Linked DNA regions of Struthio camelus. The protein of the gene in region 2 binds, or shares a complex with, the protein of the main gene of each other region. Links are inferred from orthologs where the notes say so. Each region holds a gene or a part of one and is shown on either strand. Other genes may lie near its edges.

Evidence for each region. The genes of interacting proteins can lie anywhere in the genome.
Region 1: the proteins of NRP1 (region 2) and PLXNA4 are in contact, whole or in part, in a cryo-EM structure (PDB 7M0R), measured with the Mus musculus proteins. The link is inferred for Struthio camelus from reciprocal best matches to the Homo sapiens genes NRP1 and PLXNA4. Residues at the interface, in NP_032763.2 of Mus musculus: Arg80, Tyr84, Asp126, Tyr127, Glu128; in NP_786926.2 of Mus musculus: Glu272, Lys340, Lys343, Lys345, Leu349.

What each region holds. Positions count from the first base shown.
Region 1 is NC_090942.1:3,316,021-3,323,616, reverse strand, and holds the start of PLXNA4 (plexin-A4), read right to left. Parts: upstream 3,066-7,596; 5' UTR 2,763-3,065; intron 2,745-2,762; exon of another isoform or gene 1-2,744. UniProt on the Homo sapiens protein: Coreceptor for SEMA3A. Necessary for signaling by class 3 semaphorins and subsequent remodeling of the cytoskeleton. Plays a role in axon guidance in the developing nervous system. Class 3 semaphorins bind to a complex composed of a neuropilin and a plexin.
Region 2 is NC_090943.1:16,657,814-16,665,574, forward strand, and holds the start of NRP1 (neuropilin-1), read left to right. Parts: upstream 1-4,732; 5' UTR 4,733-4,903; intron 4,904-5,081; 5' UTR 5,082-5,500; coding exon 5,501-5,567; intron 5,568-7,761. UniProt on the Homo sapiens protein: Cell-surface receptor involved in the development of the cardiovascular system, in angiogenesis, in the formation of certain neuronal circuits and in organogenesis outside the nervous system. Mediates the chemorepulsant activity of semaphorins.

The sequences.
Region 1 (7,596 bases), on a different chromosome or scaffold from region 2:
GCTTTTCATCTCGGGGAGGTGCGTGAGCATGTTAATCAAACCCCAGCACTCCGGGAAGGAGGTAGCTTTTATTACATCCATTCAAAGTCAAGCAAATCGGGATACAGAGACAAAGTGATTCACTAAAAGGAGAAAGATGCAGCACAAAAGGGGGCTCCAGAGTCCTTCCTCCCCATCTCACCCTGCAGACCCAGAGACCTCACCGTGAAATCGGGCCCCGAAACCACCACCCTCTGGAGATCTGGCTGCCAAAGACCACTTCTGCCTCCTCGGCGGCAGCAGATCATCGCAGGTCTCGTGCCTGTGCTGAGCCCTTCGCTTCGCTGCATCTCCAGCCTGCATAGCAGCAGGCACACTGCGAATGCAGACAGAGAGGCTCGTAGGTGAAAGAAAGAGGAAAGGCTGGAATATTTCCTTTCCCAGTGGAAAACTTCAGTGTCTGTCTTAAGATTTTCTATAGCACTCATTCCTCTGCTACCCAGGTGCAGGATTGCAGGCTGAACAGATTTAACAACAGTCTCCGGCACCTACAAGGCAGTTACGATCATCAAGCGAAAGCTTCCGAGCAGCAGCGTGATTGATCGTCAGCGTGTATTTTAAAAAACACCCATCTTGGACATCAACAACGCTCAGATCATGCATCTGTCATTGGTTTTGCGTCTTACTGATTTCTCCGAGTGCCGCAAATTTAAGACGGGACAGAAAGGCAAAGCCTTACACTGGTCCTTTAGGAAAGGAGACACCCCCACGGAGGATGGGTCTGGGCAGAGGAGGGAAGAAATTCCCAGGCTTTCATGATGGGGCTGGGGTTGCGTGTTTAAACCTGGCTGCGCACAAAAAGCAGGCACACATCTGTTGCGCTGCTTGAAGCCCGGCTCTGATGGAGGGTCCCAGACAGAAACAAACAAACAAACAAGCAAGCACTTTCCAAGGCAATTAAAAACGCAAACAAAACGCAGCTCTGATCCCCAAGACCTTAAGACAGTGGCTTAGCTGGGGGAAGGAAGCATCTAATCTCACGCTGGGAGGCACACGCTGTAATTAAAATCACAGAGAAGGCAAAGCGACCCCATGCTCCGCTGGTCCCACCCGCTCACGGATTTAACCAGCTTCTATAAACAAGACCCAGGTGAAACCGAGGACAGATTTAAAAAAAAAAAAAAAAGAACGCTCTATGCCCTCAAACATATTTGTGCAGGGCTGGTGCACGCTCAAGATAAGTCCCTAGAAGGCTGGGAGGGATCGCGTTGCCTGCAAAATCTCCTGAAACCTTTATCGTTCCCCAGGAATAAGAGCATCCCCAGGGGGCTGATCCAAACCGTCCCTCCGCACCCCGCTCGCCCCAGCGACCCGGACAGCCCCTGTCCTCCCGCATCCTCCCTAGCGTGTCGCATCCCGCGCACGACATCCCGGCGGCGGAGAGGGAAGCCATGAAAAATCAGGTGCGTCCAGCCCGAGCCCCTTTCTCACAGCTGCTGACGGTTCCCTGGTGGCGGCGAGGTTGGAAATCGAAGCGGAGCAGACTTTCGGGTGGAAGTTTTATGGATGAGGAGCATGGCTCTCATGCTTTCCGCCCGGTCCCTTCGGACAGGCGAGAGCGGCAGGTTTCATCCCTTCCTCTGCCCCACGCCGGCACGGGCGAGGGCTTCATCCCTGTGCGGAAAGGGGAGCAGATGGGGCCCCAGGAGGAGGGTTTCCTCGGGGCTGGGTATGTAACAGCCACATGCAGCCGCTACAAACCCAAACAGCACTTAGCCCTGCTGGGGCTGTGCAAGTGGGTTTGTTTATCTGGGAGGAACTCATCTGCCGCCGGAGTATTATATTTCTACCAAAACCATGTGCGGCTTGGTGTTTAGATCGCTTCTCCCTGTCTACATAATTCAGGGGCATATGTCTGATAAACGGAGAGCATCAATACGCAGGTTTCGGTTGCAGCGCACACATGCACGGAGGGAGGGAGGTTTAGCAGCGCTGACTCCGCAGCCTGGGTTTTGGGCAGCCAAACTCCTCGGCACCTTGCGGGAAGGTGAAAAAGACGGGGATGCCCCCCCCCCCGCCCCCTTCTCCTCGAGGTGTCCCCGCCGGGGTGGCCCCTGTCCCCTCCCTGGCAGTCACCCGGCAGGCGCTGATCCTCCCTGGCAAACGGGCTCTGCCTCCAGCCCCGTCCAGCCGCAGACCTGGTCGGGAGCAGGAAAAGTTTGCAAATACCTCCAGCCCCCTGGCCCCTGGGGCACCGGGGGGCAAATGCCCGCCGCCGCCCGGGGGGAGGAAGAGCCGCTGCCGGAGGTGGCAGGGGATAAGCTGCAACGTCGGTCCCGCTCCCTCCGCGGAGAAAAGTTCAGCCTTGTGCATGGGGGAAAAGGCACCGGGGACCGGGGAGAACCGGCCACCGGCTCTGGGGTCCTGGAGGGGACGATGCCAGCGGGGTTCCCCCCCCCCCCACCCCGCTCTGCAAACCCCCTCCCCTTCCTTTTCCAGCATCGTCCCAAAACAGCCCGGGCAAAGCCGGAGGGCCGTGCCCGGCTCAGCCCGCTGCCCCGCGGGGGTCCCTACCGGCCCCTTCCCCGCGGAGCCGCCGTGGGAAAAGGGGCCGGGGGGGGGGACCCCGGGCTCTCCCTCCCAGGGACCCCCCCCCCCCCAGCCCCGTCCTGCCGGGGTGCGAGGCAGGCACCGCCGCAGCCCAGCCGGCCCTGCCGAGCAGCCTCCCGGGCAGCCTCCCGCAAAGCCCCCCGCTGCCCGGGGCGGGCAGCCGGGCTCCTTACCTGGGAGGGCTCCTCGCTTGCTTTGGGGATTTTTTTTTTTAAATTATTATTATTTTTTTAAAAATTTCCTCTCCTTTTTCCCCCCACTTCAGTCTTCAGAGCAGGCGCCGCATTGACACTGCAGATGGTCTCTGTGTGTGTGTGAGTGTGTGTGTGTGTGTGTGTGTGTGTGTGCGTGTCTCTCTCTCTCTCTCTCTCTCTCCAATCCCAAATACTCCACGGAGGCGGAACACGGAGCCCCTCTCTCTGCACTGGGCAAACCGCGTCTTCTGGATCGCCCAGAAAGGCGGCGGGGGGGGGGGGGGGGGGGGAGAAGAAGAGAGATGGGAGGAAAAAAAAAAGCAGCTCCAGTTTTCACTCCCCCCCACCCTCCTCCTCCAAATCACCCCTCCCTCCCTCCCCCAGCCCCCCCCCCCCAGCCTCTAAATCGGCAAGGAAAGGGGGGAGACAGGCAGCCGCGCTGGCTGGCTGGGTGCAGGCAGGGGATGCGCTACGGGGCCGTGCCCGGCTCCGCGCCCGGCTCCGCGGCCGCCGCGCTGCCGCCCGCCCGCCGGCGAGGGCTCGCACTGCGGCTGTCTCGCCAGCCCTTCCTCCCCGGCCCTCCTCTCCAAATGGTGGCTGCCGAGCAGGCTTTGACACCCAGGCTTTCTTGCACACATACACACACACATCCACGCACCCCTCTCTCTTCCCCCACTTCCCCCCTTTCCCCCTCCCCCTAAAAAAAAAAAAAAAAAAGCCGGAGAGGTGTAGGGAAGTGCGGTGGCAACCCGCACCCAGCACGCCAGGATGGTAATAATAATAATAACAATAATAATAAAAAAATGATAGTAAAAATCCCTTTTTGTTCTTTTTTTTTTTTTTTTTTGCAGAGAAAGTGGCCGGTTGCTCCTCCTTTCGCCAGCCCACCCACCTCTGGGAGCGGGCAGCAGGCGGAGGGAGCGCGGGTTGTCGCTGGAGGAGGGAAGGGGGCGGGGGGGACCCGGAGCCGGTTTTTTTCTTGTCCCGAAGTTGCCAGGGGATGGGGATGGGGATGGGGATGGGATGGGGATGGGGAGCGGGGCCGCCGCCGCCGCTGCTCTCCCACGGCTGCCAGCCCGACTCGGCTGCCTTGATTTCTCCGGGCTCCTTCCCTCGCTCTACTCACTACTGACACCTAGGATCTCCAGCCTGATTGGGCTAATTGGGAAATTTCGCTGCCAAAAAAAAAAAAAAACCCTAAAAAACAAAAAACCCGTATATCTCAAAGAATCAAACGCATCTCTCTCGCTCCTCGACCACCTCCCCAGAAAAACCTCTTCCCAGCAGCAGGGCTCCCCACTGCTGCATCCCTCTTCCTCCTTCCCTCCCTGCCCTGCCACTCTCCTCCATCTAGGACAAAGTGAGGTGCGGAGATCATCAGCCCGAGCGCAGGAGGGCTGGGAGGCTCAGAGGAAGATCAGTCTCTCAGCCTGGGTGAGCAATAATCCTAGAGAGCTATTGCAAGCTGCTCTGCTGTCCGAGTCTTCATTTAATTCCTGGCAGCCGGAAGAATAATAATATCTTTTAAAAGCTATTAGTGATCATTGCCTGAGTTTTGCACCTGGTAGGCTCCTACCGTGGCTGGCCAGGCTGTCCTGCAGAGCTGCCCATGGCCGTGGGAGCTGGGGAGGGCGAAGCGAGCGCGTTTCCCCACGCAGACACCTGAACTCCTCTCTCCAGGTAATATCTGAGCTCTCCTCGAGTCGACAGAGTCAGGAGCAGAGCAGGCAGCAGATGGTAGGAAGGCAAGCGGCGCTCTCAGGGTGTTGATAGCAGCACATAGCAACAGGGCTGCCTCCCCACGGAGCCAGGAGAGCCCTGACGCTGTGACGATGGGCATCTTGCAACCGTCCAGGGACAAGGGGGAGTGAAGGGGAACTGATTGGGGAGTCCTCCTCTACACCTGAGGATGCTGGCTGCATTTACAGCAGGGCGAGGAGGGAAAAACCTTGGGTCTGGTCCTGCAGCCCCCTGCCAACATCCCCCCTTCCCTCCCCGGGCAAGAAGAAGGATGCAGAGGATGGATAGTGAAGGGCATCCCACCGCTTATGGTGAGCCACAACCATGATGAGAGGCAGGGACACCTGCCTCAGGAGACACCTCGTGCAGCCCCGAGCACAGCAGGGCTTCCCATCCTTACCGCGGCCTCTACCATTCAGGATTAATCCGAGCTTTGCACTTTTAATTATTTTAAATTTATGCAACCAAACACGGGGGCTGGGGGCTGTCTATTTGCATCCTCCAAGACATTTATTTTTAAACAATATCATGTTTTCCTTAAAACAAGTTTTATCTCTGCACTGCGTGCCTATGTGCCTGCGTGTGTGTGTTTTGCCTGAGCTCTGGTTTACATTTCCTGATGGATGGATGGGGATTCGGAGCCCCTTTTTTTAAGGTGGTGCATAAAATGTATTTATTATTCTTTATCTCCTGCCTCTCGCAAGGAGTCATTTGTTTTCATTCAGAGAAACGAACGCTATGCGAAGCCTGAAGAGTAATAACACAGCAAAATGACAACGGAAAAGCGAGACAGAAATCTGAAAGATACAATGGCAGGTTAGTAACCTCTAAAGATCACTGCTGTTGTGAACGGTACAGTATTATTTAATGTCCATTCTGGCTTGCAGCTCCATTTAATAAAACATATGAAAATCTCTGGGAATTTTTGGTCCTGCATTTAAAACAGGGCTATCCTGCTAAAAGAAATGGACAATCCAGATACCCTGAGATTACTTTTCACTGTTCGACAGGGAGGAAGAATTTAATACAAATTCTCTCTGTTTCTTAAAACAATGGCATGAGTCAACATATCCCTCCGCTGTTTGGGTTCAGAAAGGAGAGAGTGACAAATGAGACTTTTTTTATAGGCCTTTTCATGAACTCGGCAGCGGGGGTGGAGAAGGGTTAAGACTGGAAAACCCAAACGACCTCCCCTGACCTGCGAATAGCTGCAGTAAAAGGGCCCAAGGACACGGAGGGCCCCGGCTCACCCGGTCGCCATCAATGGGATGTTTTGCCGTCAACTTCGGTGGCAGCAGGCGCCCGAGCGCTGCGAGAGTGGCACGGTAATGGGCCTCGTCCTGTAGGATCTCCTCTTTGGCCTCCCACTGCTAATAACACCCTAAATAAAAATAATACCCAGATGCTGCCCATTTCGGGCTCTCAGAGATTTCATCCGTGATGGTCAGCTAACAGCACAAGCATCCTTTCGTTTCACGTCTTGTTATCCAAACCACATACAGGGATCACTCATGACAGCACCCAGGGCTTCTGATTGCAGAAAACATGTATTTCTGTCTGAGGATGCACATCCGTACGCTTTAAGACTCAACTGCTTCGAGTTACAAAGCGTGCACGCCAATTTTAAAAAAATGAAGACAGGACGACCCTAGGAAGTTCCCCCCCCCCCGCCTCCCTGCACTGCCATTTTACAAGTTTGTTAAACCAAGCTGGTATTCCAGTTGCTAAAAGGCAGAGACGCTTGTTAAAGCCATCAGCTGGTCCTTGCCGGGGACTGGGTTTGCGCCGAGCGCCGGCGCTGCTAAAAACCTACATTGCAGCGCCACCTGCAGTGACCGGGATTTTTGGCAGCTCTGGAAATCCCTGAAACGGCGATAAATCTCTAAAAAAGTCTGAGGTTGGAGGGCTGGGGGCTTGGCTGGTGGTGGGAGGTGGGAGCCCCGTGCAGTGCTTTGCGCTGCTTTGCATCGCGTTCAGTCGTGCTGCGTTGCGTTGCGTTGCGTCGCTGCACGGTGGCGGGGCTAATGCCACCTCTCCACTCCCCCGAGGCCCCCCACTTCGCCCCATGTCCCCCCCAAGCCAGTACGATCCCACCCCTCTGTGCAGGCATCCCACAGAAGCACCCTCCACCAGAGGCCGACAAGTGAATTCCCTAAATACTAAATACCACGAGGAGATGACGATAAGAAGTAGGGCTGCTGAAAGAGCTTTGCTCAGCTCTCCAAATGCCGCCTCGTTAAACGTCTTGTTTCTCTGGTCTGATCTTCACCGCCACCCCCCTCCGGTCCCTCAGATGTTGGAGACTGAAACATCTTCACCAGCTCTGTTGACACCCAAAAACAAAATTGGCCTCTTCCATCTGACTGTCACCATCCCTACCTCTGACAAAGGATGGCTTCACTGTGCTTTCGGAGTGTTAAAAAAAAAAAAAGAAAAGTCATCACACTCTGTTGGAAAGCTGGTCGAGTGCTTTGCATTGTCATTCCTTGCACCCCAGGGAGGAACAGAGTTCAGCTCTCTGCATCAGCTTGAAGGAGAGGAGCCAGTTGCGTCGAGGCTCTGCTCCGAGCGGGTGCCGGGAAGCAGAAGTAGGAGGGGACACAGAGCCAGACTGGAAAAACCACTGGGGAAATGTGAAGGCAGGGATAATCCTAAATTAATTCCACCAAGGAACAAGGCACGGTGCCCTGATAGACACAGCTCTCTCAATGGTCCCTTAGGGGACAAGAGACCCCTAAGAGCAGATCTTGGTCTGGGTGCTGGCTGCAGGGGGTTGGCATGCTATCAGTTTTTCTGCAGTTTTACCAGCTTCGAGGAGGGTCATGTAGATACCGGATGGGACAAAACCATTGCAAAAGGCATGCAGGAGGAGAAGAGGTTCCCAGGGAACAGGGAAAGAGCAAGATTTTGCCATTCAGTTGGCAGCCATTGGCTTTCCCTTTGATCAGCGCTTCTCCACAACTGGTTTCTAACACAAGGTGGAAAAAAGCCCGAGAGAGGGTCTGCCCAAGCTGCCCTCCAATTGCACTTTATCCAGCATGTCCCTGGGGTCTGCAAGCACTCCCAGCCCTTT
Region 2 (7,761 bases):
ACGTATGATCACGTATTATTAGTAAGTATACTATTATAAATCCACATTTATCCTGTATATGTCTCCCACATCCTATTTTAGAAAAAAAGCAGATAACACTGAGAATATGCAAGCAGTACTGGAGAAAAGAAAGGGGTGGGGAAGATTTGGAAGCGTGTGGTGTTGACCACACTCAGATTTTGGCAGCTGTAGCAGTGCAAGCAAACAAGAATTAGTCTTAGGAGAGACCTGACTAGCTTGTTGTCAAAATAGGAATGGAAGTAGAATGATATGTGTGATGATTTGCCTTTGACATAGATGAAAACATTTGACTTTTGATAATCAGATAATCAACTAATAAAGCCTCGGGCTGTGCTAATTTGTTGGAGTGGAATGTGTTTGGACAGGATGATGAACATGTTTTGATAAGGCATTTGCGAGACATCACGGCTGTGATTGCAAGGAGTTTGGTAAGATATTTGTAAAGTCCCTACAATCCTAACAATGTAGTTAATGTGGAGATGATGTAAATGCAAATGAATCTGATCTCTAAGCAATACAATATAGGATCTAAATGTGTTTTGCAATGTATCGCCATATGTATGTTTAAATAATGTATAAATTAGTTGGCTCGGTTTTTTGAAAAACATGTTTTTGCAATGGTTCTTTGGAGAAGGATAATATGTGCAGTGAAAAGAGGAAGGATCGTTTAGATGCATGTGGCTATGTGTGGAAAAGAGGTGTAACGTGAGAGGACGGGGTAAAGAAGCATTGGGTGTGAGAGACTGAGTAGGAGGATAAAAGATGTAGGAGATAAAAGGGTTGAAAGAGGACAGATAGAGACAAGGGAAAATGTATGTCTGATCTTCAAGATAAGGGGGAATAGCTGCAGTTCAGTACAGTAAGCAACAGGAAGCCAAGTAGTGATTCACATGGCCAAAGCAACAGGAGAGGAGACGACACAGAAGCCTAATTTTGGACAGATTCTCGGGAAAGATAAACAAAAGAAAAGAAAACATTAATACAAAGGTCATAAATGAGTACCAGACTATATATTAAGATATTAGCAGGCACTAGTTGTCAAGGAAATACATTTCTAGTTCTCCAGGAAATACTGGTAGAAAGTCTCAGTTTTCAGAAATTTAATATTATGAATGGGTTTAATTTGTTGTGTTTCTTCCTCAAAAAAATGCCAAATAAAGGTGTCTTCAGCCATGGATTAACCATTTGCCAAATTTAATTTTGAATTAAATGCATTACTGTGCTATGTGAGAGCATAAAGGAGTAAACATCAGTTTGCTCTGTTCAGCTATTGTTAAAATAGGAAAACTGTTTTTTCCTTTGGAATTTTAAGTTTTACATTACATGATTTAGCCCACAGCAAATATTTTTTATGGCTGAATTATAAACTTCTTGAGAAATAAGTTTATAATAGAAGTGCAGACAATCTTCAAAAAAGCATTATAAGCACCAAGTCAAATTGCGAAGCAAAGATGGGCCTGAACCCAAACCCCAGAGCTAGCCACTCCATTAACTTTTACATACACTGGATTCAGATTCAGTCTTATAACACTAACTCATCCTTTCCATAAAATCACATTACTGATGTGAAAATGGAGAGCTGAACAAATGTGTAAGCAGTTGCAGGATCAGGACCCATAATACCGTGACTAAAATGTGAGAAGTGGATTATAAAAAAAGACTTCTGAATGTTTCATTTGATGCCAGTTTATATTCATGATGATTAAAGATTAAACATTTTCAGATAAATATATGTAAACCAAGGACAGAACATCTTCACTCCTCATTTCAGTGCAATTCATACATGAATAGAAACATGTGCCTATGTCTGTGAACCACAGAGAAAAAGATGGGTAGCAAAAACAGACTAATACCATTTACATTATGATAGGAGAGGACATTAATATAGCAGACTCTGCTATATTTTCTAGGGCAGACTCTGCTATATTTTCTAGGCCTTAGGAAAAAAAGCTCCTACAGAAAAAAAAAACCTTGGTGTCAAACCCAAAGTGTCCACGCTGTGCTGAAGAAAGGCAGAAGTCCTGCTTCACGGGCCGCATTCGCCGCAACAGAGGCTATTCCTGGTAAATTGTCTTTGCAGCCTCGTGCATATATCTCTGTGAAAGAGGAGGAAGCAATGATCTTTTAGACTTGAGCATGTTGAAATAAACCTTGGTATATGGATTAGTGGTTACAAGGTAGGTTGAGGTGATAAAAGCAACCTTTGTCGTTAGACTTGACCATTTAGCATATTATACCAGCTTCATTTAATGTAAATAACCTAAAATTAAGTATTTAGTTTTTCTTTCAGAATTTCTTTTAAAATATACTATCTAACAATATATTGTGCCTAAATCTACAGAAAATAACTTGCTAATCTGGTAGGAAAACAAATGGGGAAAAAATTTTTTTTTGTTTGGAGCATACAACTGGGAACAGGTAATTTTCTCTCTTCAGATTCATAGACCCTATCTGATAGGACAATGCTAATCCCAAAACGAGACAGTCACCACTTCTACATGATAAATGTAATTTTTTAATATACACACCCATTGAATTTCTGCTTAATAGTTTTCACTTTCAAAATTAAACTTGGCTTCTGAGAGTGAGCTTTTAACATGAACATGTATGTATACACTTATTCAAACCCTCCAATAAGCTACCATTAGTAGGCAATTTCTGAATTCAAAAATAGATATACTTTATTTAAATAGCAGTATTGTCCCTCAGTCAGTCTCAGACTGGAATGTGCTTCAGGACAGTACCAATTTATCTCAAGGACTGTCCAGCAGCATAAGAGTTTTAACAAGCAGAGAGCACTGTTACTTCTCCCCTTCCCCCTTGTTCTGGGAATTTCACTAAAAGAAAAAAAATTAAAGGGGGCTTAATGTGCTACCCATAAAATATACATCCCAATCAATCAAGAAAATGCATAAGTATTGTATATGATGATCCAGCGACTGCCTAAAGACAGGGAAATGAGACTGAACCCAATAACTCAGCCTGACTAGTTCCAGCCTGCCCAGCTCCCAGCTGAGGACCGTGGCCTGCCTGCAGACCCTGGCATGGGCAGGGGCAGAGACTAAGAGAAGAAAAGAATGAAGCACACAGAGAATATAAGAGGATCAAACTGTGCTTTAGTGCCTGATATTACAGAACTGCAGTCATGGAAGAGAACGGGAATGTCTGGCAAAAACTCAGAAAGTAGGGATGAGAGAGCGTACAGCATGAAACCGGCAGACAGATTTCCTATGGACTTAATCTCCAGACTTCAGCTGACCTTAAAGTCGAGGCTTCAAAAGGGCAGCGAGGGAGAGTGCGGGTGGAAGGCTTAGACTCCAGGCGGGAGACAAAGGGATGGAGGGGGCCGAATCTGTGTATGATTTCTGAACACAGATGTAACACATTTGTAGTTAATCTGTGCGGCTGCAAACTGACAACTATGTTTGAAAATTATTTCAAACATAGTTACATCTCTGGAGTGGACAGGGATTTACTGCTCCAGCTGCCCCAGGAAAATGACCCTGCCTCCTACCAAAGCCGGGCTTTTTTCCTTCTGATCCTTCAGAAAGACTCCAAGTGGAGCAGTTCCAAGTTCTGCTGTGGGTGAGGAGAGTGGCTGACATCCACCACTGGCCACAGGTCATTTTCCTAGCGCAAACCCATCTTTTGGGACCATTTAACACTGTGTTTCAACTTTCAGCCTTCAGAGCTCTTCCTCTAACCCCTGCTCTAGGGAGCAGATTAGAGGCCGCTCCCCTCGACACAGAGGGAGCTCAAAGCACTCCACATAAAAGCAGCAGCCAGGTTCAAATAGGTAATAACTCCCTGGGCGAAGGGGCAGCCTGTAAGGCAGAGCAACAGGGCAAGGAGAGGACAGGCCCTCGCCTGGGGAGCACCAGACCACCAAAGGCACCAGAGGGATTCAAAGCCCGCCGTGTCCCCTTTGTCCCCGGCACGGTGTGAGGATTGCTCAGAAGGAGACACGCACTCCTCAGAGAGGACTTGAGGTCGCGCAGCCTCCCTGGGGAGCAGAGGCGGCCGGGGGAGCCCAGCTGCTCCTCGGGCCCTTCCAGAGGTGGTGGGGGAGATGGGCAGAGTGAGGGGGCAAAGCGGTGAGGGAAGCGGAGGCAGGCAGGGAAGGAGAGCCACGGTGGGGGGAAAGGGGGTGCCAATAGGGGCGGGTGGCAGAGGGTGCAGGGATGCAAAGGGGTGGCCGCGGCTCGGCCCCCGCCAGCGAGGCCGGCAGCCCCTGGGCTGGCAGAGGACGGTGCTGCCCCACGGCGGGGCTCCGGAGGGACAGGCGTGGGGCCGGGTGCCCCCTCGGGGCACGCATGCACTTGCTGGGGAGCAAGCGGGGAGGAAAAGAGCGGGTCCGGGAGGGCCGGGCGGGTGCCCGGGCCGGGGCGCAGGGAGAGCAGGGCAGAGAGGGCAGGGCAGGGCGGCGGCGGCGGTGCGCGGGCGCGCAGGACCCGCGGCGGCCACTCCGCTCCGCTCCGCGCCTCGCCGGGCGCAGGTGGGCGCCGCCCGCCCGCTCTACCTGCCCGCGGGACCGGCCTGGCGGGGGAGGCCGGCCCTCGCCCCTCGCCCCCCGACCGCCCCTCTTAGCCCACCCATCCGCCGCTGGGTTTCGGGGCTGGGGCTCGCTGTGTTTGTTTGTTGATCCTCCGGCGCTGCCGATGTCTTGGGGGGCTGAGGAGGAGGAGGAAGAGGAGGAGGGCGGGGAGGGGGAGGGGACTGGGGCTCGGGAGACGGCGGCTCCTCTGCCTCTCTTATTGCCGCTGAGTTGCGCTCCTCTTCCTCAGGCTGCGAGCAGGAGCCGCCCGGGCGCTTCCCCCTTCGCGGCCGGCCCGGAGTCCCCGCGGCGGCGGCGGCGGCGGCGCGCTCGCTCCCGCCGGGGCAGGTGAGTGCGGGCGCCGGGCGCCGCCGCCGCCCCGGGCTGCCGGCACCGGGCGGGGGAGCGGCAGCTCGGCCGGGCCGGGCCGGGCCGGGCCGGCGGGGCGGGATGCAGTTCGCAAAACTCCTGAGCCCGTCTCGTCCCCGCTCACCGCCGCTTTCTCTTGCTTCTCTCCTCTCCGCAGAGCACCCCCGCCCCGTGCCCCGGACCCCTCCCTGGCAGAGCGCTTCCGAGGTGCCGGCAGCCGCAAGGATTTTTGTCTGTCTTGTTTGTGTGTTTGGGTTTTTTTTTGTTCTGTTTTTTTTTTCCCTCGTTTTCATTTGGCTTTCTAGTCTCCCTGGGAATGGTAGGGGCAGTGGCGCCTGGAGAAGGAACAAGTGTGGGGAAAGGGAGAGGGAGCCGAAGCTAAATGACAGGATGCGGGCGACTTGAGGCACAGAAAGAGAAGCCAGCAGCTCTCGGCCACGGGGACTGCCCTTGCGGACCGTGCTTTCTGCTCCCAACTCCAGCTGGAGGATTTAAGACCTAGGAAGAGTTGTGTGTGGAGGGCTTTTTTTTTTTTTTTTTTTTTTAAACCTCCTTTCGCTGCGCTCGGAAGGGAAGATGGATTGGAGACTTCTCCTGCACTGTGCAGCCCTCACCTTCACCCTCGCCAGGGCTCTGCGAAGCGGTAAGTGTCACAGGGGACGTCGGGTCTCAGCGTAGGCAAGCAGTTTCAGCGCTCGGGCTCCGAGGCTCTGAGGGAGGACAATGGGGCACGGCAGACAATGGGGCACGGCAGACAATGGGGCCGGCACCGACCCGAGCCCGGCTGCGGGGAACTTTCTGCCAAAGGACCGACGCGGCGCGGTCCTCGCCTGAGTTTCGCCCGCCCTGGCATTGCCTTCTCACTTTATTTTCCGCTCTTTGGGGCTGTTGTACAAAGCAGGCTGCTCGTTCTCACAAGATCAGGACCGTCAATTATCTTGATAATGCTTCCTCCCATAGGCAATTAAATAAGTGTCGCCTCCGAAATCTGAAAGATAATGAACACTTTAAGGAAAAGGCTTTTTCTCCCTCCTTTCTTTTCCAAAGGGCAAGATTGAGTATCATGCCTTTTACTAGCTGTGTGTGTACCTGCGGGTAGTCTGCAGACGGAGATCTCCCTAGCGTACCCTTTTCCAAAGTGTGCAGTTTACGTGCAACTTGCACAGTGCCAAGAGAAAAGCTGAGCCTCTGTGTGAAGGCTCAAGACTCCTTTCTAATAGCGAAATCTTCCAACAAATGACTGATCTAGCTAGTTTACTATTAGGCAGCCCGTGAAAACAGAATTAATTAAAAGCAACGCGCTCCTCCTTCCCTGAACAATGCCAGGGCACCGGGAATATTTCACTGCTTGATGCATTTTTAAAGACGGTCTAATTGTGGGACTGTTTGACGTTTAGCTCTCGTTCCAGAAACAGCTCGTGCGAGTTTTCCTTTCCCGACAAATCCTAAGCAATTATTATTAACTAATTATCAAATATTTACTTTTGCCTGACTGGGTTTTAAATCAGAGTAATTAAAAGAAGAGAGCACCCTCCACTTACGCTGGTATATTGTTTTAATAAGAGACCGCAAGTGGAGCCTCTTGGAAGAGAGCGCATTAAAATCGCATGTTTTATGATGGAAGTTAATCTCTTTCCCAATATATTTTGAGGAAGCTGCTTGATTTGCTAAGGACGAGCCGCCTCCCCCGGTGATGGGGCGCAGGAGCGAAGGCGTTACCAGGCGAGCGTCAAGCCGGGCTGGGGGCTGCTGGGCGAGCTGCCCCGAGCCCCAGATGCGGCGGCCGGCAGCCGCCTCCCTGGCCCCCGGAGAGCCCGGCACTGCTCCTGGCTCTGCACCCCTCTGAGCATGGGAGGGGGCGCCCTGCGGTCTTCTCGATCGTTTACTCCCCCTTAAAAGAAAAGTAGAAGGGTGGGCCGCTGGGCAGAACCACTACCTTGAGCGGGTAATGTGGTGGCCCTCCTGGAGTCACCCAGGCCGTTAACCTCCTCTGTAACCTACCAGACCTGCTAATACCTCCTTCACCTACAGCCCATGCTAGTGTCTGCTAAATTAATTCATTAACCTCATTTAGAACTAATGGTCCAAAGTCATTAGAAACTGCTCTTCTTAATCAAGTGTGAGGGAGATTGCACAGAGCCAGGGAGTCTAGCAGACCGTATTATCTTATTACACTGTCACTTTCCCAGAAGTCGGAGATTAAGGCGCGCTGGTGGTAGTGAGTCCACCTCAGCGTCCACTGAAGTGACTCTGTCAAGTGACTAGAAGCAGCACTGCTTTATTTCAGGCATTTAACAGATGCCAGACTCTGCCATGTTGTTTGCAGGGCTGGAGTGGATTTAATGAGACAGGATCACTTTCCGAGTGTGCTTACGGAGAGAGGAAAAGGCAGGATTCTCTGCGAGCCCTAGTAAGGCGGATTAGAAAGATCACCAGTGACAGCTTTTGAGCTTTGAGCTGCAACGCCTTTTGTTCTGGTCAGAGGCAAATAGCCTGCTTTACAAAGGCAAAGCGGAAATAAATAATAAGATAACCATTCCCAGCAACATGCTTAGCAATATCTGTTTTTTGACCAGACAGCAGAATACATATCATCGCCTTCCTTTCTAATTTATGGCAAATAATCCCCGTTAAGGTGTTCAGCTTTATGCATTTTTGATGTGTACTTCCTTGTTCATTTCCATTTGACCTGGTTTTCCTACAATAAAATTCTGTACATTTATAAATTCATGCTGAGAGCAAGAAATGCCATTTGGCTGTCATAGAGAATGTATTAGACACAGCATTGCAGTCTGTACATATAGTTATTGGGATATAGTGGTGTATAGACTTGCTTT